Linked DNA regions of Notamacropus eugenii. The protein of the gene in region 1 binds, or shares a complex with, the protein of each later gene. Links are inferred from orthologs where the notes say so. Each region holds a gene or a part of one and is shown in the gene's direction. Other genes may lie near its edges.

Region 1 (15,139 bases):
GTCTCAGTTGTGTGGAACACATCATGGTCTAAGAAGAGAGTTCCTGGACAGTTCTAAGTATCTGACTCCAGCCTTGGAGAGTTGGTGCTAGAATTTGTGGCAGCTATGGAAAGGAGAACCATGGGACCAGTGGCTCTGGTCCCTGATAGATGCAATCCTAGATTATAGACCTCTAGGATCTGGCTTTCTGACTATAGAGAGGGATTTCCTAGAGAACTCAATCCTAAAATCATTCTAGCCTTAAGAAAAAGCAGGAGAATTTAGTGGACTGTTCCAGCCTTGGGGTTGGAGAGTTTGGGCATCCAGCTTTCTGTTGAAAGAATAGAAATTATTTGAACAATGTATTTCCTGGAAAGGGAAGAGAATTGTGGACCAGAATCCTGGTGCTAAGACAGTTAGTGGCTAAGGACTGAAGTCACAATATTGGGGAGCAGAGAACCTTGACTTTGTACTCCACAATTGAGGTGAATTACTCTTTGTGTGTTGAAATGTTACTTAGAGTTAAAGATCTTCCCTGCCCATTAATAGGCCTCACCTGGAGCCCATTAAGTGGAGGTTGATTAGGGGAGGCTTGTTTTGTAGGAAGGCCCACACCTTTTGTTAATTAATGAGGCACTGGGTCAAGAGGGTCGCTGTCCTCTGGCTCTGAAAAGTGTATATATACTTTGAGGTGAGGTTTTGCTTTAGGGGCTTACTCTTTGGAAGAATGTTCAAGTGATAGACCAGATGAGACTCTGGGTAGCTGTTAAGGAGTCCCCTGGCTTTGAAAACCCAGATATTGGTGCTTCTCTCTTTGGTAACTATGTATGTATGTAATGGTCAGATAGTTGGCTCTGTCTGTTCATCTGTGATATATGCATTGTTTATGGTCAGACGGTTAGAAGCCATGTCTGCTGGTCATTATTTCTCTTCTTGTACTTTCTCTTTTGGTATATGTGATTAAAGAAAATTGTTGACCCCTCAAAAGTTTCTCTCCTCTTAGGAAAGCAGATCTAAAAACCTGTGCTAGCAGGCCATCCTGCATGTGTCAGGGTGCTTGCTGCTACATGCATCCAGTTGTTCTCTATGTGACAGGTAGGAGTATTACCAGTTTAGAAGTCCCAACTGTACTTCCCTGATGGAAGAAGCCAGGCCCTCAGAGAACTCATACGTGGACACGTAGGATTCACTGGAATGCTGCCACTGGAATGTTGCCAAAAAGCAACCACCCCAAGTTTGCTTTTCTTCTGAGGGGAGTCCAAATCCAGCATGGTTCTATTAGTATGGAGGACTTAAAGATCCTGAGGGAATAGGGTTAACTCAAATGGGAGGAGAATCAGATATGTGTACACACATATACTCATAGAAACATGTGTATCTATATGCATATAGATACACATTACATTTCATAGTTTATAGGTAATTTTGAGTCTTCTATTTATTTTCTATGTTGCCTTCTAGAACCTCATGCATTTTCTATGGAGTTATCCTCAGTCCAATAAATACATTTTTGTTTTGAGGGTTTGCATCAGAAATTCCCTTATCTACATCTGTCAAGATCTAAATACGAGCTATATTTGGCAATTTTTTTTCCAAGCAAGCCATGGATAGGAGCACAATATACCAAAAGAGGGAAGGATATTATTCAGATAACCCCCAAGATTGGACCCAGGAAACCCAACTGTTGGGGGCTGGGCCGCAGGTTACCAAGGTACAAAAGTTCTTTGCATTTTGACATATACTTTTGCTATGACATTCCTATGAGCTGAATTGTAGCCATTGGTAATAGAATTCTTTGTCCAAGGTCTAACAGTTTGTAGCTTGTCTGTCAGATTCTATTGCCTATTGTCACTATTCAAATAATGTAATTTCTACTTTATGTTTATATTTTCTTTCTAGGATGGGGGTGGAGGGGAATTGGGAGTGGATGGTTTCCTCACCCACTCTGTGTGTGTGTGTGAGAGTGAGAGAGAGAGAGAGAGAGAGAGAGAGAGAGAGAGAGAGAGAGAGAGAGAGAGAGAGAGGGCTGGACAAGACTTCATAGACCATTTAGTCTAACTCCTTCATTTTATATGTGAGAAACTGAGGTAGACAGATAGACAGACACAGAACCTGATGTGGGATTTCATTAGTGAAGGAATTCCTGTTATGGATACTCCTTCTACAAATGCAGGTCAGTAACTCCTCTGTAACTTAGGGTTTCCTAGGGGGTGTTGAGAGAGGAAGTGATTTATTTATGGATAAATGCATAGTAGGTGTCAGTGAAAGACTGGACTGGACTTTGAGGCCCACTTTGTATCTACTACACAATGCTGTCTCTCCACTACAATAAGGATGACCCCCCCCCCCCATTTAATCAATGAAGTCCCCTACCCTCCCTGGCTACATCCCCAACTTACACTTGCATTGGTAGGTTGGGTCCCCAGTGGGTGGCTGTTCCTACAAGGTTCAAGGGGTACACTATGGGTACCCCAATTTGAAAACTCTACAACTTGTTAGCCCCCAATCATAAAGACTTCTACTTTATACAGGTGGTATAGTAAAAATAGTAGCTATAAAACATTTTCCCCATAAATCCAGGAAACACTCTCCACACAGTGTCCAGTGTCCAAACAGAGTAGACTGGTAGGCACACATGTAGGCAATTCACATCTTTAAAGTTGTTCCTCTACTTCCCCTCACTAGCCTGATGCTTACATTGGATGTAAGCTCCTGGGTTAGGCAGTTTGTCCCCCAAAATGGCAGCTCTTCTCACAGGTTGTTCTTCTGGATCCCATCGGTTTGCTCCTTGCTGGGTAGCTAGTCTACAACAGTGGTATCAAACTCAACTAGAAACAGGAGCCTGGTGCACATTGCCTTAGAAAACCACATTTTAACATTATCTATGTTCTAGAGCCTAAGATATGGTGAAGGTGTAAGAGAACAATGAAGAGTGGCTGAGGGAGGTATGTTGGAATGTTGGAATGTTAAATGCTCTGCCTTGACTCTGCTCCGATCAATTTAAATCACCCAGTTGCCCCTTTAGCTTAACAAAGGTAAAAATGTTTTCTTTAAAAAATATTAGTGTTGGAAACTTCCAAAGTACTTTTTTTAAAGGTGTGAATTATGTAATTTCAAGGGAAAATATTTTTCTAAATTTTATCCTCTTCTCATTTTTTTTTTTTTTGAGAAAGAACTGAATACCTGGTTTTGTATATGGGGGGTCGTGCTGGTAGTTGGCCAAGGATAGTGGTAGGGAATATCCCGTCTGTCAGACCTTGTGGCAAATTCCTTGTCACCCTAGTTAATGAAGAGCAACTATGTGGCCCAGTGGATAGAACACGGAACTGGAGTCAGTAAGACTTTCAAATTCAGCCTCAGACATGAGCTGTAAGACCCTGGGCAAATCGCTTCACCCTGTTTGCCTCAGTTTTCTCATTTATAAAATGAGCTAGAGAAGGAAATGGGAAACTAGTGCAGTATCTTTGCCAAGAAAACCCCCAATAGGGTCACAAAGTACCGGACAGGATTGAAATGACTCAGTGGTAACAACAGATCCTATGACCCCAAGTTTTGCCTTGGGAGATGAAGAACAAATTTCCTTCCTCCTCCATGTAATGGGAGAGGTTGAAAGCCCCCCAAGGGCAAGGCCTGTTTCATAGTTCACCCTCTCATCTCTAGTATGTAATGCAATTTCTGGCACATATTAAGTTATTAATAAATCTTTGAAGTCCGGCCACCTCAGGTGTTGCATCATTCAAGTCCTCAAGACTTTCTTTCAAGCAGCTGTCCAAGATGTTTCTGGTACAAAGACCGACCACATGTTCCAGTATCTTGGGCAGAAACATTGTATCTCCTGGATGCTTTGGAAGCATGTTTCATAGACCATGCATGTTTCAGACCAGGCTTGGCTCCTTCATTGAATGCTCCTCTCCAAGCTCCTGGAGAAAGGCTATGTGGAATTCCTTGGGATTTCAGCTGGTTCCCTCCACTCCTCCCTTTCCCACTGGTTCCTGACCCCTAAGCCTCATTAACCTCAGCACAAGTGCTTCAGGGCATTTCTAGGCATTCTGGGGGATTAGCTTTAGCCAAGCTTTGTTTACCTTGGAATTAGCCCGATCAAAAGTTCCTAAAGGGCAAAGCCCTGGCTTCTCGGGTTTACTTAGCAAAGGGCAAAGCCCAGTTTGGGGAACAGCAGGTGGCCTCTAAATCAAGGTTACTTGATAATGCCAACGAACCTGAGTAAATATGAACAGTGGGCCATCATTCTTAGTTGGTCCAAATTTTGGCTGCAGGACAGTAGAAGGAAAACCACCACCCTGAATGAAGGGGTAAAGTTGGGAGAAGGGACGATGAGGAACCATGGAGGATCAGAAGATAGCAGGGAGGTGATGGCTAAGCACTTGGTTAACCAGCTGGCATTTATGAATCACCTACTGTGTGACAGGCACCATGCTAGGCAATGAGGATACTAGTGCACTCTGCACTCAAAAAGAGCCAACATTCTAAAAATATTAATATGTGTTGTATTAAATTATTTAATTAAATATATAACAATTTAGAATATAATATATTAAATACTTTATCTATTACTATATATTATATTTATTAATCACCTACTGTGTGCCAGGCACTATGCTAGGCACTGGGGATACAAGTACAAGAAATGAAGCAATCTCTGTCCACAAGAATGGACATTCCAATGGGGGCGACACATATATACATTCATACATACGCAAATATATAGTAGAAAGTGAAGAAATATAGACGGAGTTGTTAAATATAAGGAAATTTGGAAAGGAAGACATCAACACTTGGTAGGATGAGGAAAGGATTTGTGGTAGTTGAGCTGTATCTTAAAGAGAAGGATTCTGGGAGGTAAAGGGAAGGAAAGAAGGCATCCCTTTCCAGGTTGGTGAATGGGATGAAGATGAAGAGTAGGAAGATGGATTGTCCTATCTGTGAGAGTGAGAAAGCAGGCCCAGTTGTCTGGATCCAAGAGTGCAGGAGGAAGAGTAATGTCCAGTGAATCTGGAAACATAAGTTGAGGCCCAGATTGTATAGGACTTTGAAAACTAAGTGGTGGGTTTTCTATTAGATCCTAGAGACAATGGGGTGGAATGAGTAGAGGGATCATATGATTAGATCTGCAATTAAGGAAAGTCACTTTGGCAGCACTAAGTAGGATAGACTAGAATAGGAGACACTTAGGGAGGGAGACCAATTAGGAGGTAGGTGCCATCATCCTGGTGATGAGAACTGAAGTGGAAGCTGGGTGCTTAGAGGTAGAAATAGCAAGATCTGGGAAATTATTGGCTATGTGAGGTAAGGGTAAGGGACAAGTTAAGGGTAATGTGGACCTGGAAGACTGGAAGAATGGTGGTACTTTGACAAAATTGGGGAAATTTGTAAGAGTGGAGGGTTTTGGAGGAAATATAATAACTTCAATTTGGGATACGTGGAGATTAAAATGTCTCCAGGACATACAATTTGAAATGTCCAATGGGAAATTGGTATAGGGGGACAGAGGCTCAGGGGAGAGACTTGGACTGGAAATGTAGTTCTTGGAGTCCTCTGAGTGGAGATGACAGTTAAATCAATGGAGCTGAAGGAGTGAAAAGTGAAAAAAGAGTGACAAGAATTTAAAATAGAACCTTTTGAAATACCCACAGTTAATGAATAAACTTGTAAAGGACTGAGAAGGGCTCTTCAGTCAGTGTCAGGAAAATCCAGAGGATGGAGCATCCAGGAGGAGAAGACAGTCAACAGTGTCACATTCAGCAGATAGGTCAAGAAGGATGAGAATTGGGAAAAAATACAAACAAAAACCAAAATTCCACTACAACAGAATTGGCACTTAAGAGATCTTGGGGAACTTTGGAGAGAGCAGTTTCATCTGAGTGATGAGGATGGATGCCAGCTGGTAAAGGGTGGAGAAGAGAGTGGGAAAGGAGCTTCTTCATTCAGGGAAGGTAACCAGCTTTTTCAAGGTATTTGACCAAGAAAGAAGACGAGATACAGGAAGATAATTCAGGGGATGGTAGTTTTCAGTGAAGAGTTGTGTGGTTTTTTTTTTTTAAGGATGAGGAAGACTATATGATATATTTGAAGGCAGTCCCGACAGGTAAAAGAAGTTGAAGGTTTGTGAGAGAAGGGGGTGATTAAGGATGTTGGAGAATGGGGCCCAGGGGTTTCACTGGGGACACATGTAGAGGGGTTGGCTTTGGCCAAAAAAAAAAAAAAAAGAGCCAAGACCTCTTTGTCAGAGACTAGGGCAAAGTGGGGGAGAGTGGGAAATAGATGACAGCCAAGGGATCTGAGATGACAATAATGGATAAGAGAGAGAGAGAGAGAGCTCACTTTGTGTAGACCTAATTTTCTCAGTAAAGAAACAGGCTTCCTGAGAAAGGGAAGTGTGGGAGGTTGGGAGAAGGGAAGGGCATAAGCATGTGTCTTGGGCCTTCCATGTGCCAGGCACTGAGCTAAAGGCTTTGTGGAGATATTATTTCATTGAATTTGAGGTTGAAGTTTCTATCTCTACAATCTCTCTTCATCTCTCTATTGACCTCATCCCCTCTGACCTTGGCTACTGATTATAACATAATGAGTTTCCCTGCCTCAAGTCTCTGCATTCTCCTTTGAATGTTTGAATGTTTGAATGTAAGCACAGATCTGACTTCGATACTCCTGTGCTCAAGAAGCTCCAGTGCTCTCTCTCTATTGCCTTAGAATTCAAATAAGCCTTCCTTCATGTGACTAATTCTCTTCACAATCTGACTTTAGTCTACTTTTTCAAAGTCTTTTTATATTTAACCATGGTCTCTGGTGCAGTAAAATTGGGCCTTCTGCTCTGCTTTACTCATAACACTCTGTTTCCCATCTCCAAGGCTTTGCCCTGGCTGTGCTCCATGCTTGGAATGTCCTCTATCCTCACTTCTATTGGAATCTCTAGCTGTCTTAAAGCTTGGTCTACAGAAGTCTCTTCTGATTCTCTAAGTTGTCAGTACCTTCCCTTACCCAGGATTACAGCGTATTTATTTAGTATATGTTTTCTTCAAACAGAAGAACCTTAAGGGCAGAGACTGGGATTCTTTTTTTGAGAGGGGAGGGGTCTTTGCATTTCCAGCACCTGGCACATCAGAGGAATTTAATAACTGTTGGGTAATTGATTGGTCACCCAATGATCTTCTGGAATGTGATTGTTCTCTGATGGACTAGCCTCATGAAGTTGTCAGCTGCCTCATCAGAGATGGTACTCAGCAAGCTATTGGGTGTTATAGAAGAGGCTTGTACAGTTGGGCTGGATATGTGGAGTATTAGAAAGATGGCCCTGGCCTTTGGAGTCAAAGAGTCTCCAAAGAGACAGTTTGAGTCTTGTTCCGTCTCTTAACAGCAGTGTGACCTTGGGCAAATAATTCTCCCTCTTCAGGCTTTTAACAGAAAGGGGTCAGATTAGACCAGGGGTGGGGAACCTGCAGCCTCTAGGCCACATATGGCCTTCTCGGTCCTCAAGTGCAGACTTTTGATGGAGTCCAAATTTTACAGAACATTCCTTTATTACGGAGATTTGTTCTGCGGAATTTGGGTTCAGTCAAATGGCCAACCTTGAGGATCTAGAAGGTCACATGTGGCCCAGAGGCCAAAGGTTCTCCATCCCTGGACTAGACCTTCAGTGGTCAAGACTCTTTAATATGAACTTTCTCTCACCTTTCTGAATCCTTTATCCTTTAAAGTTATGCCTATAATGATCCCAGTCATAATAGAGGTGTTTAATCATTTCAGCTGTCATAATTAGTTAATAATTAATATAAAGCAATTAAATGATATGCTTTAGATTCTTTGTTGTGGTAGAGCTTCAAGAAAGGGAGTCAACACAAAATGATCATTTGACTATTTGGTAAACACAGTACAGGCAGTACAGGAATATTAACTAACAAATTGTCATGACCTTTCAAAAAAGACCCTATTGTCTATGAGCAAGGGGAAGGACCAGTCCACTCTTCCCTTTCTGGAGTCCTGGAGGAGTGAGCCTTAGCCAAAGAAAAGCTCATTTATCACAACAGAAAAATGTGAACTACCTGTTTTCTCTCCATAGCAATGAAGGGAGAGTGATTCTGAAATGATCTTTCTGGGTACAATAAGCAACAATGACCATCTATCAGCTTATGAGATGGGCTCTGCTTCCACCACACACAAGAATAAACTTAAAGGTTTGGAAAACACTTAGACACCGCATCTATTTGCTGCTTTTCAACAAGCTCCTGTTACATCCTTTCTTATGAATAAATAGAGGTGATCCCAAAGCTCTAATAGCCTTTATAGCCATGCTAAGGCTTTGGGGACCCTTTATTTAGTTCCTTCCCTGAAAGGCCAGTTTAGAGACCTGAGTCCCATTTCCAGAAAGGGAATTTCTATTAATTAATGTCATCTGCTCAGTGACATTAAGGCCCCTCCACACAAACTTTATTAGTATCTGATTTAGCCTCAACAATTTCCACAAAATACAGAGTCATCTAGGATCCCAAGGAGCTCGGTTTTAGCACTCACTCTCTCTACCTGCCCGCCCCTTCCCTCACATGACCTTGGTATTGAAGGGGCAGCGAGGACCCCACTTCTGTAACTCACTTTTTTCTCACAATTCTATGCAAAGACAGCATCCTTCGGTAAATGCCTGGATTTCCAGGAGCTCCTGGGAGGATTCTGCCCAAATTAGCACCAGACAGGACTTGGGGCAGGAGGTGTCAGAACTGGGAATGTAAACCCCCCCCAGATCCCTGAAGGCACAGGCCAGGGGTCCCCGGCGAGGGCTGCCTCCGTTCCAGGATCCTAACAGACCGCGCTGCGGAGCGAGGTGCGGGGAAGCGGCGGACTCGCTTGGTTATTTATTGGATACTTTGTATCCCTCCGGGTCTTCCTCCCTCCTCGCTCCCCCCGCCCGCTCCCCGCCTCGCGCGGCCTCCCTCCCTCCTCCTGACAGTTCGCGCTCCCCCTCCCCTCCCGGCGCAGGTCTCCGGCTCCCTCGCCCCTCCCCTCGGGGTTCCTCGCCCCTCTCCCCCCCGCCCCCTCCCCGCTCCCGCGGCACTGTGGGTAGACAGCAGCCCGGCGGCGGCGGCCACTCGGGGCAGCTCCGCGGGGCGGCTGCGGCTTCGGCTTCGGAGGCGGCGGCTGGGGCCGGGCCGGGGCTCGGCCGTGCGGAGGAGGGGCCGGGCTGGGCCGGGCTGGCGGGCGGACCATGGCGGAGAAGCCGAAGCACGACGGGCGCGTGAAGATCGGCCACTACGTGCTGGGCGACACGCTGGGGGTCGGCACCTTCGGCAAAGTCAAGAGTTGAGTGGGGGGCGCGCCTGGGCGGGGGGGGCACAGGGGCGTCCTCCCCCCCGGGCCGGGTGCGGGGTTGGGGGTCACCTGTGCGCCCCTCCCTGTGTACACCTGTCCGGGGGAGGGGGCGGTGGGGGCCATCCTGCCCCGGAGCCAAGACTGGGGGGGGGTCACCTGTGCGTCCCACTCAGTGTACACTGTCGGGGGAGGGGGCTGTGGGGTCGGCCCTCCCCCAGGGCCGGGTGCAGGGCTGGAGGGGGGTCACCTGTGCGCCCCACGCAGTGTACACCTGTCTAGGGAGGAGGCGGTGGGGGCGATCCTCTCCCAGGGCAGAGGCTGGGGGCGTCACCTGTGCGCCCCTCCCTGTGTACGCCTGACTGGGGAAGAGGCGGTGGGGGCGATCCTGCCCCGGAGCCAAGACTGGGCGGGGGAGGGGGGTCACCTGTGCGCCCCAGGCAGTGTACACCTGTCGGGGGAGGGGGCTGTGGGGTCGGCCCTCCCCCAGGGCCGGGTGCAGGGCTGGAGGGGGGTCACCTGTGCGCCCCACGCAGTGTACACCTGTCTAGGGAGGAGGCGGTGGGGGCGATCCTCTCCCAGGGCAGAGGCTGGGGGCGTCACCTGTGCGCCCCTCCCTGTGTACGCCTGACTGGGGAAGAGGCGGTGGGGGCGATCCTGCCCCGGAGCCAAGACTGGGCGGGGGAGGGGGGTCACCTGTGCGCCCCAGGCAGTGTACACCTGTCGGGGGAGGGGGCTGTGGGGTCGGCCCTCCCCCAGGGCCGGGTGCAGGGCTGGAGGGGGGTCACCTGTGCGCCCCACGCAGTGTACACCTGTCTAGGGAGGAGGCGGTGGGGGCGATCCTCTCCCAGGGCAGAGGCTGCGCGCCCTTTCGTAGCCCAGCTGTCTAGGGGGAGGGGGAGCGGGAGCGGGAGCGGGGCGCTGCGGGGGCGTGGTCGGGGCTGGGTCACTCGGGTCCTCCCCGCCCCTCCCACACCTGTCTCGGAGGTTTTGGCTCGGGCCCCAGCCCTGCCTCTGGCTACCTGCGTGACCTTGAGAGGGGCCTGGCTGCTCTGGGGCTTCTCGGGGCACTCCCCCTCTTCCTAGGGTGGGGCTCCCCTGTGTTAAGTGCTTAGGCACCATGGTCTTTGGTCCCAGGTTCACCTCCTAACTCTGCTGCGTGAACGTCCTCTATTTTTCACTCTGTGAAAGGAAGAGGTTGTACCCGTTGGTGTCGGGTCTCTCCCACCTGGAGCCAGGATCCTGGGCAGCAAGTGAAGCAAAGCTTCTGGTCCTGGATGACCTTAGGCCGGCCCTTGTCCCTCCCTGGGCTGCTGGGAGATCTGGATGCCAATCCAGCCGCAGCTCTGGCTCCTGGCTGGGAACACCGGACAGGGCTCTGCCCGCCCCATCCTTCTGCCTTCGTTTTCTCCCTCCTCCGTGTGGGATGAGAAATGCTTGTCCCTCCCAGGCCGGGCACTGGCATACTGTGGGGAGAGAGGGCTATGGCAGAGTGCATAGCTGGTGGCATCGCTACGTGGTAGCTCGCTGGGATCACAGAGGCACCTTGACCCAGTAGATGCCGGAGTTACTACTGCTAGTCTTAAGAAGGAGCTTTGCGTTCAAATCCCAACTCTGGCACTTCTTAGCTGGATTAAAATGAACAAGTCAATCTCTTTTAGCCTTAGTTTCCTCTTCTGTAAAATGGAGTTAACAAAACTTAGAGTAACTAGTGCACCTAGTGGTCTTCAGGCTCCAACAAGATAGTGTATGGAAAACACTTTTTTATAAAATGCAAAAAGCCTTATTATTCTTATTTAGAGTATGATAGGACCATTATTATAATATAAATCTAGTACTGCTTTAAATTTCCCCCCTACTGTCTTTCCTTCTAGATGCATTTATTAAGCATCTGCTGTGTGCAAGTCTTGAACACAAAGGTGTAAGACAGTTCCTTGTCCTCATAAAGTTTACATTCTGGTGGGAAGGGAAATACAATCTATGTAAAAAAGTAAATAAAAAATGTACAAAATGAATCCATAGTAATTTTGTGTAGGGGTGAGTATAGTTTGGTGAGTGAGAATGAGGTTGGAGGTGACACTGACGGCACTAATTCCTAAGAAGATAACATTATTCCAAAGACAGGGACAGCCTCCCTGTGTAAGGTCCCAAAGACCTGGCCTGCAAGGTTCTGTTCTCCTCCAGGCAGCAGTAGCATCCTCCCATTTCCATAAACTCTGTCTGTGGCCTGCTGAAGGAGTTAGTATCCTGGCCACTCAGGGACTGAGACAGCTAGCTGTCTTCAGGCTGTGGTACAGAAGAGGAGTGTGATTTATTCTGCATGAGTCAGGAGAAAAGCAACAGGGGCAGGTACAAGCAAGGAAACATCAGCCCCACAAAGAAAACCTTGCTTCCACTGTTCCAGTAAGTTGACTCAAAATGGAGTGAGCTGTTTTCAGTGTAATGAATTCTAATTCTAAAAGTGTATCGTGTGAATGTTTTCTTTTGGGGTGGGGCGGGGAGCTGGCTGTTAACATTTACCAGCACACCACAGGCCTCAATCATCCTTCATTTGTGTGAAACCAGAGGTCTTTAGTGGAGTCATATGGGGATAGATGAGGGTTGAAATAAAGGCCTTCTGAGGTTACTTTGAGCATGCAAAGTTCTATGATAATCAGGATGGCAAGGGGGATTCTGAAGCTGCCTCTAAGTGGTTTGAAGGCAGTTTGCTGGAAAGGTCTAGCCAGCTTTTGAGAGCCAGCATGGTTTTAGTGGGAAATGTAACACCTGGGAGTCAGAAGACAGAAGACCCGTGTTGCAGCCTGAACTGCTGCTAACTCCCTGCCATACCTTTGACAGCTCATTTTCCTGCTCTAGACTTTCATTCCCTTCTGCGTAAATTGAGGTTAGTGGAGATGATGCTTTCTCTTCCTTCATACCATACTTTGTGATTCTGAAGGGGCACACATGCCTCCTGGCAGGCCTGAGAGGCTTTGGGGGCAGAGTTCCTACCCTCACTGCCAGGATTCTGGAGACTTGAGGGTCCTCTCTGAGAAGGGCCGATCTTCTCCATCCTCAGATTCAGAAGTGCTCGTTGTCCACAGGGGACATTTCTGCATATGCTGCCCTGGTGCCCTCTTTGTCTTTTCTGTTAGTAATAGTCCCAGAGATTCATTAGCTGTTTCTGTTCATTGTACATTGAATCAGTTCTGGAGCCAGCTGATTCAAGTTTCATCCTGATTCTGATTGCTGGACACAGATTTTGAAAAGGTCGATTTTTTTTTCTTTCCAGGAGGGGGTGGGTAATTGTCCTTGGCTGCTTCTTCCTCCTGTCCTGATTTGTCTATCAATCTGCCAGGTGTTCTTACTTTCAGGTTCGTTATATAGGAGGAATGTGAAGCCCATTGTCCAAAGGATTGTAGCCAAGATCAGCAGGTGGTGTTTCCTTCCTCATTTCTGGCATAGGGGAGCATTGATTTCTAGGTACTGTATGAGCTTAGGTTACTTTTGGGAGCAGTATGATGAGTGTAGACAGATGGGTGGTGTAGACAGATGGGAAGGACAGAGTTGGACGGGACATTTGTTCCCTTGAGGTAAAGTTAGAACACCGACTGAATTTCTTGGCATAAAAGAATGTACATTAGAAAAAACAGAGTAAATATTATGTCTCCTTCCCATCTCACCCTTGGTCACTCTGTACCCTTCTCCAAGACCCGTATATATAAAACAGCTTGTAATCATGAAGTGATATACAAAGTTTTTTAAAAATGTTATGCTGTCTTATTTAATCCTCATGATAAGCCCGACAGGTATATTGTATATGTGTTATTATACCTGTTTTATTAGCCAGGTAACTGAGGCTTGAGGAGTCAGGTAGCCAGGAAGAGAATCCAGATTTTCTGCTTGATCAGCGCTTTTCCTTGAAGAAGGAACTATGCTCCTTCTTTAATATATATGATATATGTTTGTTATAGATTTAATATATATAGATATAGTTTTAATATGTAGATGTATATTATAGATTTAATACATGATATACACATTGATATAGCATAACACAATGTTGACATAACATAATTATAAATTCCTATATCGTATATTAATTTATACGTATGATAATATATGTACATTCGTATCTATCATATACTATGTCACTGAGGTTCTACATATGATATCTGTCTTCATAATGATTTGGAATTGGGTTGCTATCTCATCATGCTTTTTGTCAGTAGTCTGGCAAATTTGTAGTCCGGAGACCTGAGTCTGAATTCTGCCTCAGACACTTACTAGCTACGTTATTATGGCTATGTCATTGGTAGTCTCAGAAATTGAGTAACTTTTTCTGTCAAACCGATTTGGACATGGGCTAATTTGTCTGCGGTTGTGGGTGCTCTCCTATTAGATGTATTCATGCCAGAATGGGACAGTCGCTTTTTGGGTATGAAGTGGAGAATAGTTTTTTGGTGTTAGTCATCAAGTAGTTAATAATAGCCAACCACTGTGCTAAGCTTTGGGGATACAAAACTAGGCAAAAGGTATTCCCTGCCCTCAGGGAGCTTACATTTGAATGGGGTGATAACATGAAAAGGACTAAGGCCAAACAAGATACAGGACAGATGGAGTAGCTGGGAGATCATCCATCTCTGGGGACAGGACGAGATGACCGCTTGAGTCTCTTCCGACACTGCGCTTCTGTGATTCTCCAAAACATCCCAAGATGGTTGTGATGCCAGCATTTTAGAGTGCTATGTGGATGTGAATCAGTATTATTTACAAAATGTTCCTGTGCTAGCTAGCCCCTGTAAAGGATAATGCAGACGGGATAGTCTTGTCACTTAGAGGTCTGGGAGCACAAATTTGTGTACTTTAACTTCATAGCCTTTCATTGTGTGGAGAAGTGTCCTAGTAGTGTGTCTTCATCAAGTCCCTGATAGTTGAAAGGACCATTCAAACCACTGTACATATTCCTAATAAGTTTGAATTGCTGCTTTAAAAAATCTGTGTCAAACACAAATCATGTGGATTTAAAAAAAAAAATTGTTTCATAGAGAGATCCTTTCCTCTAAGGAGCAGATTCTCTGAAAAATTTCCACGCCAGAATTGTCACCAAATAGTGTCATTTCTGACCCAAGGTTAGGATCTGTGTGGTTGTTTGGTTACTGGATTATAGCACTTTCTGCAAAATTCAGGTTAATCATTTCATCTGGGAAGGGAAATAAAAACACAGGATCTTTTTGACTCTTGCACATTTTCGACCTTGTAGAATTTTAACTTAATTTCTGTTCAAAGGTCGGATGGTGAATGAGCTAATGTTATATGACCATGAAGATACGAAAGTTAGGAGCACTTTATATTCCTTTAGGTTTTTTTTTCTTCTTGGCTCTAGTTCAGTTCTTAACTTTTATGGAATATAAGGTACCCTTAACATTTGTATCTTAATTATCTTATAAAATTAAATCATCTGCTATTCAATGCTTGAACAGAAATTAAGTTGAAATTCTGTGAGGTCTAAGCCTCACATCTACTGGCTGTGTGACCTTGGGCAAGTCACAGCACTCAGTGTGCTTAAACTCAAATAGTTAAATAGTTAAACTCAGTGTGGTTAAATTCAAATAGAAACAGGCCTTCATATTGACTCAGAAAACTTCATATTAATATTATCTTTATTTTGTCAAATATTTCCCAATTGCATTTTAATCTGGTGTGGGCCCCCCGAGGGCCCATTGCTGTGGAGCCCCTATTTGGTCTATGGGCATATTGTTTGATACCTCCAAGACTCTAGGTGGCAGAGGAAGTACCAGATTTCATTGGTAGGATCATCTCCCCTACTAATGGGATCACAAGACCTATGTCTGCTCCTTCCCCCACC
Region 2 (14,952 bases), on another chromosome or scaffold:
TGAAGAAGGTGATGGAGCTACTGATGGGCCTGCCCGCCTCCTTAACCTGGATCTGGACCTATGGGTCCACCTTAACTGTGCCCTGTGGTCCACGGAGGTCTATGAAACTCAGGGTGGGGCATTGATGAATGTCGAGGGCGCCCTCCACCGAGGGCTGCTGACCAAGTGTTCGCTGTGCCAGCGTACCGGAGCCACTAACAGCTGTAACCGACTGCGATGTCCTAGTGTCTACCACTTTGCCTGTGCCATCCGGGCCAAGTGCATGTTCTTCAAGGATAAAACGATGCTATGCCCATTGCACAAGCTTAAGGGGCCCTGTGAGCAGGAGCTGAGCTCCTTTGCTGTCTTTCGCCGTGTCTACATTGAGCGGGATGAGGTGAAGCAGATTGCTAGTATCATCCAGCGTGGTGAGCGGCTACACATGTTCCGGGTGGGAGGGCTAGTGTTCCATGCCATTGGGCAGCTCCTGCCCCACCAGATGGCCGACTTCCACAGTGCCACAGCCCTCTACCCAGTTGGCTACGAGGCCACGCGCATCTATTGGAGCTTACGTACCAACAATCGGCGCTGCTGCTATCGCTGTTCCATCATCGAAAACAACGGGCGGCCTGAGTTTATTGTCAAAGTCATGGAACAGGGCTTGGAAGACCTGGTTTTCACTGATGCATCCCCCCAGGGTGAGGCTCTAGGGAGTTAGGGAACCATGTACTGTGTGGGTGGGTAGGACAAACTCCTTCCCAGCTGTAATTCACAGAGGTCTTTGGTGTTTAGTCTTTAACTTCTGTGGCCTAGCATCCATTAGACTGGGCAGAGTTTTTTGTTGTTCAACCTTAATCTTTTCTGCTGTTCTTTTTTTTTTTCTTTTCTCATTTGAGGTGAAAAGAGTTACTTCCATGTCCCCACAGATTAGGTCCAAGCTTCCCTTAATCTGATCCTAACTCATCGTTATTTTCTCTTACTTAGGGTATTAAATGAAGCTCTGACTAGTATTGACTATATTTAGGGGTGGAGGGAGCGGGGTAAGAGATAATTTTTTTGATATTCCTACTTTATATTCCTCACTGTCTTTAGAGCAGAGGGTCTGACCCACAGGGGTGCCATTCCTGTTTTAGAGGGAAGGAGTCAAGGCATAGGTCAGGAGTGGAGAACCTGCAGCCTTGGGGTTACATGTGGCCTTGAGGCCAAAGGTTTCCCACCCCTGGCATAGGTCATGGGAGCCACAGATAAAAAATAACTCTTGTATCTGGGTAAAGCCCAGATATGGGGGGAAATAAGTCTTTTGATGGTCATTTGATTTCCCCTCAGCTGTGTGGAACCGTATCATTGAACCAGTGGCTGCCATGCGCAAGGAAGCCGACATGCTTCGGTTATTCCCGGAGTATCTTAAGGGCGAGGAGCTCTTTGGGTTGACAGTACATGCTGTCCTACGAATTGCAGAGTCGGTAAGGTGGGAGGAGGGCAGGGTGGGCTGCAGGGGATTCTGGGGTAGGCTAATTGGGGTACCCCTGCTCCCAGGGGCCTGGGCTGTGGTAGATTGCTCACTGTGTCCACAGCTGCCTGGAGTGGAAAGCTGTCACAACTATTTGTTTCGATATGGACGGCACCCACTGATGGAACTACCACTTATGATCAACCCTACTGGCTGTGCCCGCTCTGAGCCCAAAATCCTTACTCACTACAAACGGTGAGCCTACTTGTTGAGGGAGTCTGTGGTCGAGCTGGGTTTGGGAGGGATCTGAAGTGAAGGGAATGGGCAGAAAACAGGGTGGAGGATTGGAGACCTTGGGATAATTGGGGGCAGGGGGGCGGAACACAACACAGATGGGGTGAAAATGGAGACATCTTTTCCTTTGGAAACGTTGAGGAATCACTCAGACATATTGAATAGAGGAGGCTGGAGCCAGGGCCCCCTCTAAAGCTTGTCTTTCCTGCCTAACTAATGGGGGTGGAGGGTGGAAATGTGTTAACTGGGGAGGTATGCAGTAGGCAGGTATTTATTGATGTGATGGATGAGGGAGCTAATAGTTTTTTCCCTTTCCCCTCTCTAAAGGGCTCTGACTCCCTCCACCTTGAGCCTAAAAGGGAGCCTTTAGATGTACCCTGGAGTGCTAATGTCCACCTGAGGTGGCCCCAGGAATAATAATTGAAAGAACATTAAAACCTCACATTTGTATAGCATTTTATACTTTTTTTTCCAAAGCGCTTTCACATCCATTATCTCATTTGATCCTCACAACATCCTTATGAGGTAGGTAGGGCAGGTGGTATTACCCCCCTTTTTTTCAGATGAGAAAACTGAGGCCCAAGGAAGTTAATTGACATGCCCAAGGTCACACAGCAAGTCAAAGATGGAGCCAGAGCTAGAGCCCTGGTTTCTTGACTTGTTCAGTGCTTTTCCCACTATGCCATTAGTGGACCCTAGCTCACCAGCTGGGGTACAGGAAGACAGAAACGATTTTAAAGGAGTTCTGTCACTGTATGTGACCAAGCCCCAAGCAAAGAGTCCTGGACTTGATCTCTGGTGTGCAGAGATGAAGGGCAGGAATACAGCCTAGGTAGTTGTGGAGGGAGAAGGTGGAGTGGGGAGTAGGGACGAAGGGTAGGGGGCAGTGGGGGAGGGAAATGGAGTCAAACAGGTTTACTGAATTATTTTCCTGAATTGAATAGTTGGTGCAGAGGCAAGGGAAGAGAGATATCATCCCTGTTTGGGAAAAGTTTGTAGTTTTTGTTTCAAGGGGGAAAAGTGTAAACAACTTTAGTTCTCAAGAATTGTTCTAATGTGGTAAAGGAACAGAATTCTGAATATGCCCTCGGAGTAGAGCTCCAAGGGATAGTCCAGTGACTGGAATGACAAGACATAGACTGTTCCCTGTCCTTGGGGTGGTCGAGGGAAGAGCATCTGTGTTAGGCTAGTCATGAGAGGGTGAATGTATCCACACATCAGGGAATGGGAGAAGTTTCGCTTATTTGATTCCTAGACCTATCTCAGGTTTTCTGAACAGAGGGCCATATGGATTTTAACTGCTGCCCCACCAAGATGGAGACCCTTATAGTAAATTCAGGTTCTGCCTCTATTTGCCCAGGCTATATTTCCCATATGCCCGTAGCACATGTCCTGAGGCCTGGCTGACATTTGCCACATCCCAGAGTTGGGGGTTGGGTACACATCATTGTGTGTCTACTAGATCTGACTTGCCATTTTTCCTGCTGTCCCCAGGCCTCACACCCTCAACAGCACCAGCATGTCCAAGGCATACCAGAGCACCTTCACGGGCGAGACCAACACGCCGTACAGCAAACAGTTTGTGCACTCCAAATCATCACAGTACCGCCGGCTCCGCACCGAGTGGAAGAACAACGTGTACCTGGCTCGATCCCGTATTCAGGGCCTGGGGCTGTATGCTGCCAAGGACTTGGAGAAGCACACAATGGTCATTGAGTACATTGGCACCATCATTCGAAATGAGGTGGCCAACCGTCGTGAGAAGATCTATGAGGAGCAGGTTAGGGCCAAGGAGAGGAGCTGTGTGTAGAATGTTCCGGGGATTCAGGACGATGGGGCTATGGCGGGCAAACTTGAGTCTTCAAGGGAAAACGAGAGATATTTGTGGAAAGCTGGAAAGCCTGAATCTGTTTGAATCTGTTTCTCCTGTTCCCTTCCTCTTTACAGAATCGAGGTATCTATATGTTTCGTATCAACAATGAGCATGTGATTGATGCCACACTTACTGGAGGGCCAGCCAGGTAAGATGGAGAGGGAGGGAGGGGCATGTCAGGGTAGAACTGGCCCTAACCTGAATTGTTCCCCTGACACTGACCACTCCCTGGTCTTTTCCGGTTCAGGTACATTAACCATTCATGTGCCCCTAATTGTGTAGCAGAGGTTGTGACCTTTGATAAGGAGGATAAGATCATTATCATCTCCAGCCGGCGCATCCCCAAAGGAGAAGAGGTGAGAGGAAGTCTTAGGAATGATGTGATTGGCAGTGATTTCCTTTGTATGTTTTTTTTTTCCCTAAGCCTGACTGGACTTGATCCTTTCTCCCTTCCCTCCCCAGCTGACCTATGACTATCAGTTTGACTTTGAGGATGACCAGCACAAAATCCCCTGCCACTGTGGAGCCTGGAACTGCCGAAAGTGGATGAACTAAGCTCAGAGGCAGCTGGGCAGGGGAGACCCTCCAGAGCCCTTCCCAGAAGGGTTGAAGGGGAAGAGAGCCAGGACCCAGAGCTGGGGCTGCTGGCTGACCAGAGCCCTAGGAGCAGGACGGGGCTCAGGGCCCTTTCTGGGCACCAGGGATGACTTCCCTCCCCCACCACAGGCCCCAGGCTGGCACATCTGCCCCCAGCTCCAGGAGCCGACAGACAGAAACAGCCATTGGGCATCTCAGGTTCGGGGGGTGGGGGGGTTGGGTAGATATGGGCTGGGAACTACCCAGCACCGTCTAGGAGGCAGCAGAGACGGTGAGGAGGGTGGCAGCTTGGGTCTCCCAGCCCCAGTGCTCCCACTGACGTCCCCAGCCCAACTCAAGGCTGCAAAGAGACTTGATTAAGCTTGACAATCCCAAAGGCTGGGTCCCCACACCTGGCCCTGCCCGCTGGGTCCTGTCCCTACTTCCCAACCCCCATCTTCCCTTTCTCTCTGTCTCCCTCTTCTCCTCTATGTCTCTCTCTGTCCCTCTTTCCATCTCTCTCTTTCTGGGTTGTGTTTCCTTGTTTTCTCTCTGACAAATGCAACACGAACGGGAAAGAGGCACCCAGCTGCCCGGGTGGGGCGGGCAAGGCAGGCAAGCCGGGCAAGGAGATCCTGCACCCACACCTACCTCATTTAAGTGTTGGATTTTTTGCTGTTTTGAAATGTGAGACCCTCTCCCCAGCCCTCTGATCCCTCAACCCCTTGTCTGAACTGGGGGTAGCAGGGAGGGGGGGGTAAAAAGGAAAACCTTTAGAAAAAAAATCTGTTTTTAACTGTGGGCATGGGGTAGTGACTAGGGCTGATGGGAAGCGATTGAGAGAGGGTGACCCCTCGATCCCCTCAGAGGCTGGGCATCTCTCCCCCTCTGAACAGGTTGGAAGGGAGAGGTATTGGGGTTGTGTTTCAGAACCAGGGTGTCCTCCTCTTGTACTCCCAACCCCATCATGAGCCCAGTGCCTCCCTCAGCCTCTCCCTGGATTTGGAGGGGAAAGAGATTCTCTTGAGTTGTGTACCCATTCCCCGTGGGGCAGGTTGGGGCCCAGAGCTCCCTACTTCCCCAGCCACCAAACTGCTGCTGGTCTGGTGGGAAAGGGAGGTGTTGGGGGTAGGGGAGCTTAGTGTCATCGTGGGGAGGGTGGGGGGGTATTTATCTATTTATAAGCCGGATTGTATATAGTCATGTGGGGCATGGGGGGGCCAGCAGGAGGTGAGAACCCTCCCCTCTCCCCCCCACCCCCTGGGGAGAGCAAATGTAAAACTACTAATTTTTGTGCTTTATATATTCTATATAAATATATCTATTTTCTTTTTACAAAACCAGTTTATAAATGGTAGGGGGCGAGGGGAGGGACACCTGGAGCTCCCCTTGTGGGGGAGCTGCCCTCCATTATCCCAGACCTGCTGCCCTGCTTCTCACCCCCCCCCATCCCCTGGCTGTGACTGCTGTAAAGGTGAGGGGAGGGGACAGGGGCTGGGCTCAGTTTCCCCACTCCCAGATGTACAGTTGGACTTTTATAACGCACAAAAGTGATCTGGCCCCTAAGGGAGCCAGAGGGTGACGGGTCCCCTCCCTCCTTTTTCTCCTATCTCCCTCCCTAACTTGTGCTGCAGGTGATTGAACCTCTTCCTGGAGTGGGGGGGGTGTTGAAGTAACCCCTAGGCCCCTCTCTGGTAGGGAGCCGTAGATTTGCAGATGAAGTTTTTATTCAGTTCTCTCTTCTAGGGGCTGTGGGCAAAGGGCGTTTTGTAATTATTTTAAAGCATCAGAAATCTGGAGCATGAGGATGAAGGTGATGCCAGTGGAGAGGGCTGGAGCAGGGAGCCTAGTCGCTGTTGTGTTTTTAGTTGTTTTTTTTCTTTTGAAGTTTTTGTTTTGTGTTTTAATTTGAGACAGAATGGGGTGGCAGGGGTGGGGAGGAGGCTGAAGATTTTTTTGTTTTTAGGGAAAAAGACAAAGCTGCTTCCGCAACTTGTTTAAAGATGCAAAGGTTTAAAAGAACTCCTAACCCCCCCCACCCCCCCCACCCCCGCCCCCAGCTCCACAGGGAGCAAAGAGAAGCTGCTGTAAGTAAACCAGGAGCAAGACTGGGCTTCTCTAGCGCCCTCCCCCCACCCCACCCCGCCCGCACGACCCCAGCCGCCGGACCTCTTCCTCTCCGAGAGCAGAAGGCCCTCGGGCCGGAGCGGAGCCCAGCGCAGGGTCTGGGCTGGGGGCAGACTTTGTAAGGTATGCTAGGTATCTGGTAGTCCTGTAGATCTTAGTGAAGAACCTTATACAGTTTTTAATTTTGATACAAACTATCACGCAGACCCAGGCTGCAAGGTTGGAACTTTGGTTTTCTGTTGTTCTTAGTTCCCCGCTTGTACAACGCATCGGAAGCGCCCCGCCCCCACCCCGCGTTCGTGTTTTGGGTTGGTTTACACGCACACCCTCCATTTTCAGTTTCCCCTTCATCTCCAGGACTCTCCTCCCCCTCCCTCCCTCGGCCTCCCTTGGATAAAAACCGCTGACCAGTGTGAATCCCGTGGAGACTTGACTTTGTGTTGTGTATGCTGTACAGCCAGGTTTGTCCTTCGTAACAACGGATGAAATGACCCCTTCTAGGCCGCGCCCTCCCGCCCCGAGCCCCCGTCCGTGGCATGTTTTGTATCGGCGATCATTATGAACTGTACATAATTTATGTTGTGAGAGGCAAAGGGCAAGTTTGGGATTTTGCTTCTTCCAAGTTTGTTTTTAAAGGACAAATAAAAAAAGCATTTTAAATACAAGTCGCCTGGAGTCGCTCGGTAGCGCCGCCGCCAGCGGCCCGGGGCCGGCCAAGGCCGGGAAGGGAGGGGGAAAGGCAACGCCCCTTCGGCCGCTCGCAGGCGACTGGTCGCTACCGGAAGGGCGGAGGCCGCGCGTCTTTAGGTCACGCGGGAGGAAGTAGGGTGGCGGTGCCGGAAGTGACGAAAGGGGCGGATCCGGAAAGAAGCGGCCCGGAGGGCACGAAAGCCGCTGGCGCGGAGCGGGATGGAGACGGTGAGAGGGAGAGGGCTGCCAGCCGGAGGGCCTGGCGGCGGGCGCCTCCCGGCCGGGGCCAGCCGGCTCCCCGCTGCCGGGCTGAGGAAGGGAGGGAGGGGGCGGGGACCCCGGACCTCCTGTCTGGGCTGTCCGTCCCGGAGCCCGGGGCTGCCCTGACGCCGAGGTCTCGCCTTAGGAAGCTGCTCGGCGGAGGGCGGGCGTCCCTCCGGTGCCTGGGCCCCGGGCCCTTCCGGGCGCTAGGGAGCCTGGGGCGCGGGCCGCTTGTGCCAGCCCGTCCCTGCGGAGCGTTCCCATGGCCGTAGTCCTCCTTCCAGGGGTCGCCCCACCCATTTCACGTTAGCTGTTACCCCTCTCTTTAAAACAACAACAACAAAAAACGGGTTTTCTTCCTTTGCAAAGGGTAAAAGTGGGACCTCCAAAAAATGACATAGGGACGACGTCAACCTTGTAAATTTGGGAAAGTGCTCTTGACTGGACTGGGAGGCAGGAGGGCTGGGTTCAAATAACAGCTCTGCCGTCGATGAACTGATCTCGGGCGAGGTACTTCATCTCTCTAGGCGCATTTGGACCCAACGGTCTACAAAACCTCTTCCAGTTTTAAGAGTCTGAGATTCAGTGACATGGGGCATGCAAACTAAGGACTGTGATGAAAACAGCAAAGAGCTGGAATACTAAGAGCTAAATTGTCCTCATTCTGATCACTGAGTAAAACTCAGGATAAGTTATGTACGGCCTGAAAGAGTCCAACCCTGCAGTTTAAGGAAGTAGCTAAGAAGGATCCGACCAGCATGGGAAAAATGTCCTTAGAAAACATCCTGGGAAGAACCGTGGCTATTGAATAACCGTCCACTGGCCTCTTCCCCCACCCTGGGAACTTCTTTTAAGTTAGTTACAGGGCTTTGCACATTGTAGGTACTTAAGAGCTATTTAATGTTTCTAATTATGTTCTTTTAAGTGACTCTTTGTATCCTATTAGTGACTTTTTGTATCAAATAATATGTAAAGCTCTTTGCAAACTTTCAAGTGCTACACAAACTTAGCTGTAATTATCTTTCTAAGTGTCTGTCTAGGTATGTCTCTGAATATACATGTGACCAGGTCTATACATTTGTATAGATTGTGTACATTTGTGTTTCTACAAATCCAGTTTTCCAGTCCAAATGTCTTATTTGTGTCAAATCATCTGTGCCCCTCTATTGCTCCCTTATGGTTTACATAGCAACTTTGTTTCCAGGCACATTCATAAATAACCTACTATCTCAGTTCATTCTATAACCATCTCTGGGAGGTAGGTGGGAGCAGAAATTTTTGAGGAGCAGATAATACAAGTGGATTCATAAAGATAAGGTTACTTAGCCATATGTATGTTTGTATCTATTCTGTGCTTGTCTATCTTTCTGTCTTAGTGCAGCACTCTGACCATCTACGTCTTCCAGTACATCACCATCATAATGTTTTGCAGTAATTCAAATAATCTGTGATTCCATCCATATAAATATTCTTTCCACCAATAAAGAAATGAAGCTTTTCTACAGCTTGGATAGATATATAAGTTTCTGTGTCAAAAAAAATCATCACTTGGTAACCATCCTTTTGGTGATGAGTCTCTCTGAATTTAGGTAGGCTAATCACTGAGCCTGAAGTCTGAACCATTCTGGCTTGGTATAGGACTTGTCATTGTAATATAGTATCTAATACAAAACTGCAGGTTACCTCCATAATATATAATGAGGCATCATAATGGGAAGTTTAGTGGAAGTTCAACAACAAATATTTATTGAGTACCAGCTGTGTGCCTAGGGTACTGAGATTACTGCTTTCCTGGAGGTTACATTCTGGTTTGGGAGACAAGATATTTGTATATGAAAAAATTATCACAATACAAGGTAGTATATAAATGCCAAAGTGGACAACTGCTCCATTTCTTGGTCTCTCTTTATGTTATCCAGTCTTTGGTTTTTGTATGTTGTGTGATCTTGTCTGTGTCTCCTGTATACATGTATGTATCTGCATTGCTCAGTAACCTTCACATGCAGGTGACTAGATTTGTTCCAGTGGCATTGCCAAAATGTCACACGCAGCAGACAGCAGCAATGGAATTCGGTTCTTGCTTCCTTTGGGGGTGGGAAGCTGTCCTTTCAGCTTGCCTTTGACCTTTGTTCACTAGCCAGCAGAAAGACTCCAGATCTTTTAGCCTTACATTTTTGCAAAAACTTGTGGGGCAAAAATGCAGTTTTTGGAACCATTTTCTGAATATGTTGAATTGCAGCTACTAGTACAGATAGAAATCAGCATAACTCCTTTTGGGTAACATTGACATTTCCAGGAAGTATACAGATTTACCCAAGTTTTGGTTACTCTGAGCTAGGGAAGGAGGCAGGAACTGCCCCTTTACCCTCTCTATGTCCCTAGGACCAGGAAGTAGAGGCAGTTAGTGTTTCTCTTGGCTTTGGAAGGCTCTGGCTCATCAAGTGATGCTAAAGTGCAGGTCTGACCATATCATTCTTCCCATTGTAAACTCCTTTAGCTCCATATTTTCTCCCAGATCAGATATAAAATTTTCTCTTTGGCTTTTGAAGCCCTTCATAACCTGGCCCATTCCTGCCTTCAAAGTTTTCTTACTATCCTCCACATGCTGAGATCTCAAATAAGACACTCCATCTAACGACTCTGAGCATTTTCACCAGCTGTCTTCCATGCCTGGCACAGTCTCCTTCCTTATGTTTACCTCCTGGCTTCTCTGGCTTTCTTCAGATCTCAAAGGCCCACCTTCTGCAAGAAGTCCTCCGTAATCTTAGTGCCTTCCCTCTGAGACTATCCCCTGTTTGTCTTGTATATATCTTATTTGTACATAAGTTTTTGCATGTTGTGAAGCTTAAATAAGATAATATTTGTAAAGTGCTTTAACTCAGGGCCTGGCACATAGAAAAAGGTGTTTAATAAATGTTTATTCTCTTCCCTTGTTTCTCCATTAGACTAAACTCCTGGGGACCAGGAACTGTTTATTTTTTACCTTTCTTTTTGTCTCCAGTACTTAGAGAAGTGCCTGGCATGTAGTCAGAGCTTAATAAATACTTGTTGACTGATCCACTGAATTGACAAAAGGTATTGGGTTGGAATTTCGAAAAAACTTCTTAGCTACAGAACATGTTTCATGTTTATCCTTCAGACATTCAAGTGGTGATGACTGACTGGCTGCCAGTTTCTCCCTGTCTTTGTGATTAGGGACCAAGTGGCATGGTCCTTATGCTCAAGATAGTACTTGGGGAAGGCATTGATATCCCACTATCCTGTTTTTGACCCCCATAGCAGATTCTTTGGGAGTCAGGTGTGGGCCCACATTTTGGGCTACGTTTTCAAAAGCTTTTGTAGCTTAGCCTAGGCCAGGAATCACTGGTGTCAGTTTTAAAGCATTGTTTCTTTTATGCTGCCTTCCTTATTGTTGGGGGAGGGGTAGATTCAAGAGCCATGAGAAACATAATGAGGTTAGTAGATCCTAAGTTAGGCTTAGTTCCTTTGTTTGTCCTTCCAGGTCACTATTCCAGAGAGTGGTATGGAAAAATGCACCCCAGCTCTGGAAGGTAATATATTTCATCATGATATACTCCAAGAAGGATGGGTACTTCTGTGAAAACCAGTGACCAGTCTATAATTGGTCTTCAGTTTCAGCAGGTTTTGTTTCTCTCCCATTGTACATGCTGGGGATATCAGGGCTGAGCCAAAAACCAGAGATATTAGGCCGCTTTATAAGAATTAGAATCAAGAGCTTATATAGGGAACAACAGGAATAAGTTTGGTGTTATAGGGGTGCTTATTAAGATTGTCATAAGTGATTTAGATAATTAGAGTAGGATTTTTTTTCAGTGGGAGATTCTGAACTGTTGTCAGTGGGAGAGCTATAGGCTAGAAGACCACATTATAGAAGTCCCTGTTACTTATTAAAGACCCCAGAGCCAGGAACCACCAGTCTTTTGTCACCCAGCATCTGAGTGTGTACCCTCACATCTGGGATGGCTTTGAAGACTTCTACATTTTCCCAGCATTTCAAGTCAGGAATAGAATGGATTAGGGATATAGTAATAAAATCCAAGACACAGGGTTTAGCAGTCCTACAGTGTTCCCAAACTCCTGTCAGTTTTGAGCCATTATGAAAGAACCCTGAATTGCCTTTACAGTTGCTTCTCTATACTGTGTGACAGGCTTTCGAACCTCACCCCAAAATAATGAAATAATCTTCCATTTATTTTAAAAAAAGATTTCTATTGCCGTAGGACATTAAGATTCCAAAGAGATGACGTAGACCTTCCCTGATGGATAGAGAGAGGAATCAGGACTTGACCTGTGATTTCATTGGTATAGGGAATCTCCTTCAGCTGAAGAAGCTTCATTTACCAATCCAATCAGTACCTTCTCTGAAACTTCTAGTCTTAAAAAATTGCCTAGAGTACTGACGGATTAAGGGATTTGCTTGGGGTCACATAGCCGGTATGCAATAGAGGTAGATTTGATCCCAGGGCTTCCTAGCTTCCAGGACAATCTTATATCCACTATGCCACACAACCTCTATAAAACGTATAATTTAAGGGGGTAGAAGGAAACACATGTACACAAATAACTATGATAACGAAGGAGTGATCCAGGAAAAGTAGCATGTGAAATTTTAGGGAAGATCATTTTGATTTGGTTGGGAAAAGGGAATAATTCCTGAAGGAACTGGTATCTAAGTTGAGTTTTAAGGGAAGGAGGAGACTTTCAGCATTAGGAGGTAGAGTGGAAAATTAACTAAACAGGAGAACAGTACAAGTTTGGAGAGGAGTGAGGGAAGGATGAGAAGTGGGGATAAAAGCTACCCTTGTCTGTTCTGAAAGTAGGGTATAAGAAAATGAATAGTATGAAGTAGGACTAGAAAGGTAGGTTGGAAGTTGGAAGGTTATGGAGACTCTTGGGTGCCAGGGTAAGGAGCTTTTAATTCATTAAGTAGTGGGCAGCCATTGAAAGCTATTGAAAAGATTATTGACATTAGGAAGATTATTGGGGCAGCAGTGCGAAGAGTGGAAAGCAAGGAAGCCAGTTAGGAGGACCTAAATATGCCCCCCTTCACCATTTCTGGAACTCCTTGAAGCTGCTGTGGACTTCCCAGACAGACTTTTATACTAGCCTCAGAGACTCTAGAGGCTCTATGGGATTTGGAATAATGGCTGAGGATAAAGGATAGAGATAGCTCTCTTCTTTATATTAAAAAAAAAAATCCATGTTGGGCACAGGATGAGGTAGGACAGTGCAGGCTATGGATATTTCCCTAGTTTGACAAAGGATATGGAGATAGTCTCAGTTTTCACTGGATTCTGAACTTGCCCTCTCTCTCAAGGCCTTATTAGTGGTACAGACTATTTGTGGATTTTTCTTACCCATCAATAAGACTTTCAGGATCCTACACCCAGCCTGACCTCACCCTAGACCCATCCTCAGAACCTTAGACTGCTGGAGGGAAATACAGGAAGCAGGAAGTCCCATCCAACATGGTGTTTTACTAACACACACCAACATGGTATTGAATTGGAATGGCTTGGATAAGGCAACCATTCATTCCTATCAAAAGCTCTCTGAAGCATCACAAGACTCTTATTCTATTCCAGGAGAAGAGCAAGAGAGAATGAACAGAAGTTATGGTGAAAAAACTTAGCTCAGAGAAGAACCTTCCAGACAAGAATAGACTTCTAAGAGATTATCCTTTGGAGAACTCTGAGTAGAACATTCTCTACCTGACAGGAATTGACATAGCCCTGCTGAAAGATGAAATGGTCTCTAGCCTTGGGAAACTGAGAATTAGATGGATTCAAAAAATCCTTGTCTAGGTTTGGTGGGAGGAAGAAGAATGAGGCAGGATGGAATGGGAGGGTGTCGTGGAGAGCGACCTCTCCATTTGGGAAGCTATAGCCCTCTGACAGAGAGGTGGGGGAAGGGGGAGCAGGGCTCACACAGCAGAATGGAGAACACTAATCCCCTCATGCTATGCAGAGACCCCAGAGTCCAACAGCGCTGTCTATACCTGCTTCATGAAATCCCATCGATGCTATGATCTGATCCCCACAAGTTCCAAACTGGTTGTGTTTGATACCTCCCTGCAGGTGAGTGAAGCTTTTATCCTCTACCCTTTCCCTGAGGCCTCTGCTTTATATATCCCATCCAAAGCCATTTGTAGGGCTACTCTTACCCTTCTTTCCCCTTATGCTTCTTATCCTCCTCCTCCCTCAATTTCTCTCCTAGTGACCCTTCCTTCTCTATTACTCATCCCCTCCTTGCAGGTAAAGAAAGCTTTCTTTGCCCTTGTCACAAATGGAGTTCGGGCAGCCCCATTATGGGACAGCAAGAAACAGAGCTTTGTGGGTAAGTAGGGGTCCGGAGGATGGATGATATCATCATGGTAGGCATGATGGGAAGTTGAGGGTGGCATTTGGGATTCCCTCATCTGAGGGTGTTCTAAGGGGAAGACAGTACGATTCCTAAGTATTCATTTGGCTTCCAGGCATGCTGACCATCACTGACTTCATCAATATTTTACACCGTTACTACAAGTCAGCCTTGGTGAGAAACCCATAACCCGTTGATTCTGATGCCATAGTCAGGAACCATTGATTTCCTCTTTGGGTCCCACCTCCAAGCCCTGCCACTGATTTCTGACAGTGTCTTCTTTGCATCCTCGGGTCTGCTTTCCTCCATAGTGCGCACAGTTCTTGCCCCCTGCTCCACTTCCCAGGGAACAGTCTGTTGGGGGTCTATTGGAATAGAGTGATAAAAGCCCGAACCCTGTTACCTCTATTCCAGGTACAGATTTATGAGCTGGAAGAACATAAGATAGAAACCTGGAGAGGTTCGTAGTAGGGAGTCACAGGGAGACAAAGGGTTGGAACATTTTCTTGGGAAGCTGTTTTCTTTGGTGGCATTTTGTGTGTAAATCATCTCTTCTCCTCTCAGAGGTGTACCTTCAGGACTCCTTTAAACCTCTTGTCTGCATCTCTCCTAATGCCAGGTGAGCTGCCATCTGCTTTTTCAGAATGGAAAAGTCATCATCAAAAGGAACCTGGGAAGGGTGGTGGGAGTGATGACCCCATACATACATGCCTTGGGATAGTCTGACTTTGCTCACTGTCCCCAAATCCTCTATAACCTACAACTGGAGCTAATCATTACCCCGTCATTCCACAGCCTTTTTGATGCTGTTTCCTCACTGATCCGAAATAAGATCCATAGACTGCCAGTCATTGATCCTGATTCTGGCAACACTCTGTATATCCTCACCCACAAACGCATCCTCAAGTTCCTCAAGCTTTTTGTAAGTGCTATTTCTCTTCCTCTCTGACTTCCCATCATCACATATACTGCCCTCAAGCCTCCCTGGGCTGGGTTAGGGAGTTGGTGGCTGAGGGCTGTTTGGAGGACCTGGTAGTCTAGTTAATTGATCTGTCTACCAGATTGCAGAGTTTCCCAAACCGGACTTCATGTCTAAGTCTCTGGAGGAGCTCCAGATAGGCACTTATGCCAACATTGCTCTGGTTCGTACCACCACACCTGTCTATGTTGCATTGGGCATCTTTGTTCAGCACCGGGTCTCTGCCTTGCCAGTGGTAGATGAGAAAGGTAAGGAATTGAGGAGGGAGAGAAGAAGGGGAGGGGAAATCTGTGTCCCCAGAGGTGTTCTGTGGGCAGTGATGGGGGTTCCATTGCTGAATTC

The links.
Region 2: the proteins of PRKAA2 (region 1) and PRKAG1 are in contact, whole or in part, in a crystal structure (PDB 6B1U), measured with the Homo sapiens proteins. The link is inferred for Notamacropus eugenii from reciprocal best matches to the Homo sapiens genes PRKAA2 and PRKAG1. Residues at the interface, in NP_006243.2 of Homo sapiens: Asp329, Asn330, Ile333, Met334, Ala337, Phe340, Tyr341, Leu342, His366, Pro367, Glu368, Arg369, Met370, Pro371, Pro372, Leu373, Ile374, Asn444, Val446, Thr447, Pro530, Arg531, Leu532, Gly533, Ser534, His535, Thr536, Met537, Asp538, Glu541; in NP_002724.1 of Homo sapiens: His36, Asp40, Leu41, Ile42, Pro43, Thr44, Ser45, Val50, Phe62, Leu64, Val65, Thr66, Gly68, Val69, Arg70, Trp75, Ser77, Lys78, Lys79, Gln80, Phe82, Pro158, Glu159, Ser160, Gly161, Asn162, Lys170, Arg171, Lys174, Phe175.

Annotation. Positions count from the first base shown.
Region 1 is NC_092873.1:516,700,766-516,715,904, forward strand, and holds the start of PRKAA2 (5'-AMP-activated protein kinase catalytic subunit alpha-2), read left to right. Parts: upstream 1-9,093; 5' UTR 9,094-9,190; coding exon 9,191-9,284; intron 9,285-15,139. UniProt on the Homo sapiens protein: Catalytic subunit of AMP-activated protein kinase (AMPK), an energy sensor protein kinase that plays a key role in regulating cellular energy metabolism.
Region 2 is NC_092874.1:220,883,259-220,898,210, reverse strand, and holds the start of PRKAG1 (5'-AMP-activated protein kinase subunit gamma-1), read left to right. Parts: upstream 1-7,104; 5' UTR 7,105-7,208; coding exon 7,209-7,217; intron 7,218-10,752; coding exon 10,753-10,801; intron 10,802-12,856; exon of another isoform or gene 12,857-13,021; intron 13,022-13,238; coding exon 13,239-13,607; intron 13,608-13,746; coding exon 13,747-13,805; intron 13,806-14,045; coding exon 14,046-14,091; intron 14,092-14,195; coding exon 14,196-14,250; intron 14,251-14,426; coding exon 14,427-14,553; intron 14,554-14,692; coding exon 14,693-14,858; intron 14,859-14,952. Other genes in the region: KMT2D (histone-lysine N-methyltransferase 2D), read left to right, coding at 1-677, 1,306-1,442, 1,554-1,684, 3,218-3,503, 3,671-3,744, 3,844-3,952, 4,059-4,151. UniProt on the Homo sapiens protein: AMP/ATP-binding subunit of AMP-activated protein kinase (AMPK), an energy sensor protein kinase that plays a key role in regulating cellular energy metabolism.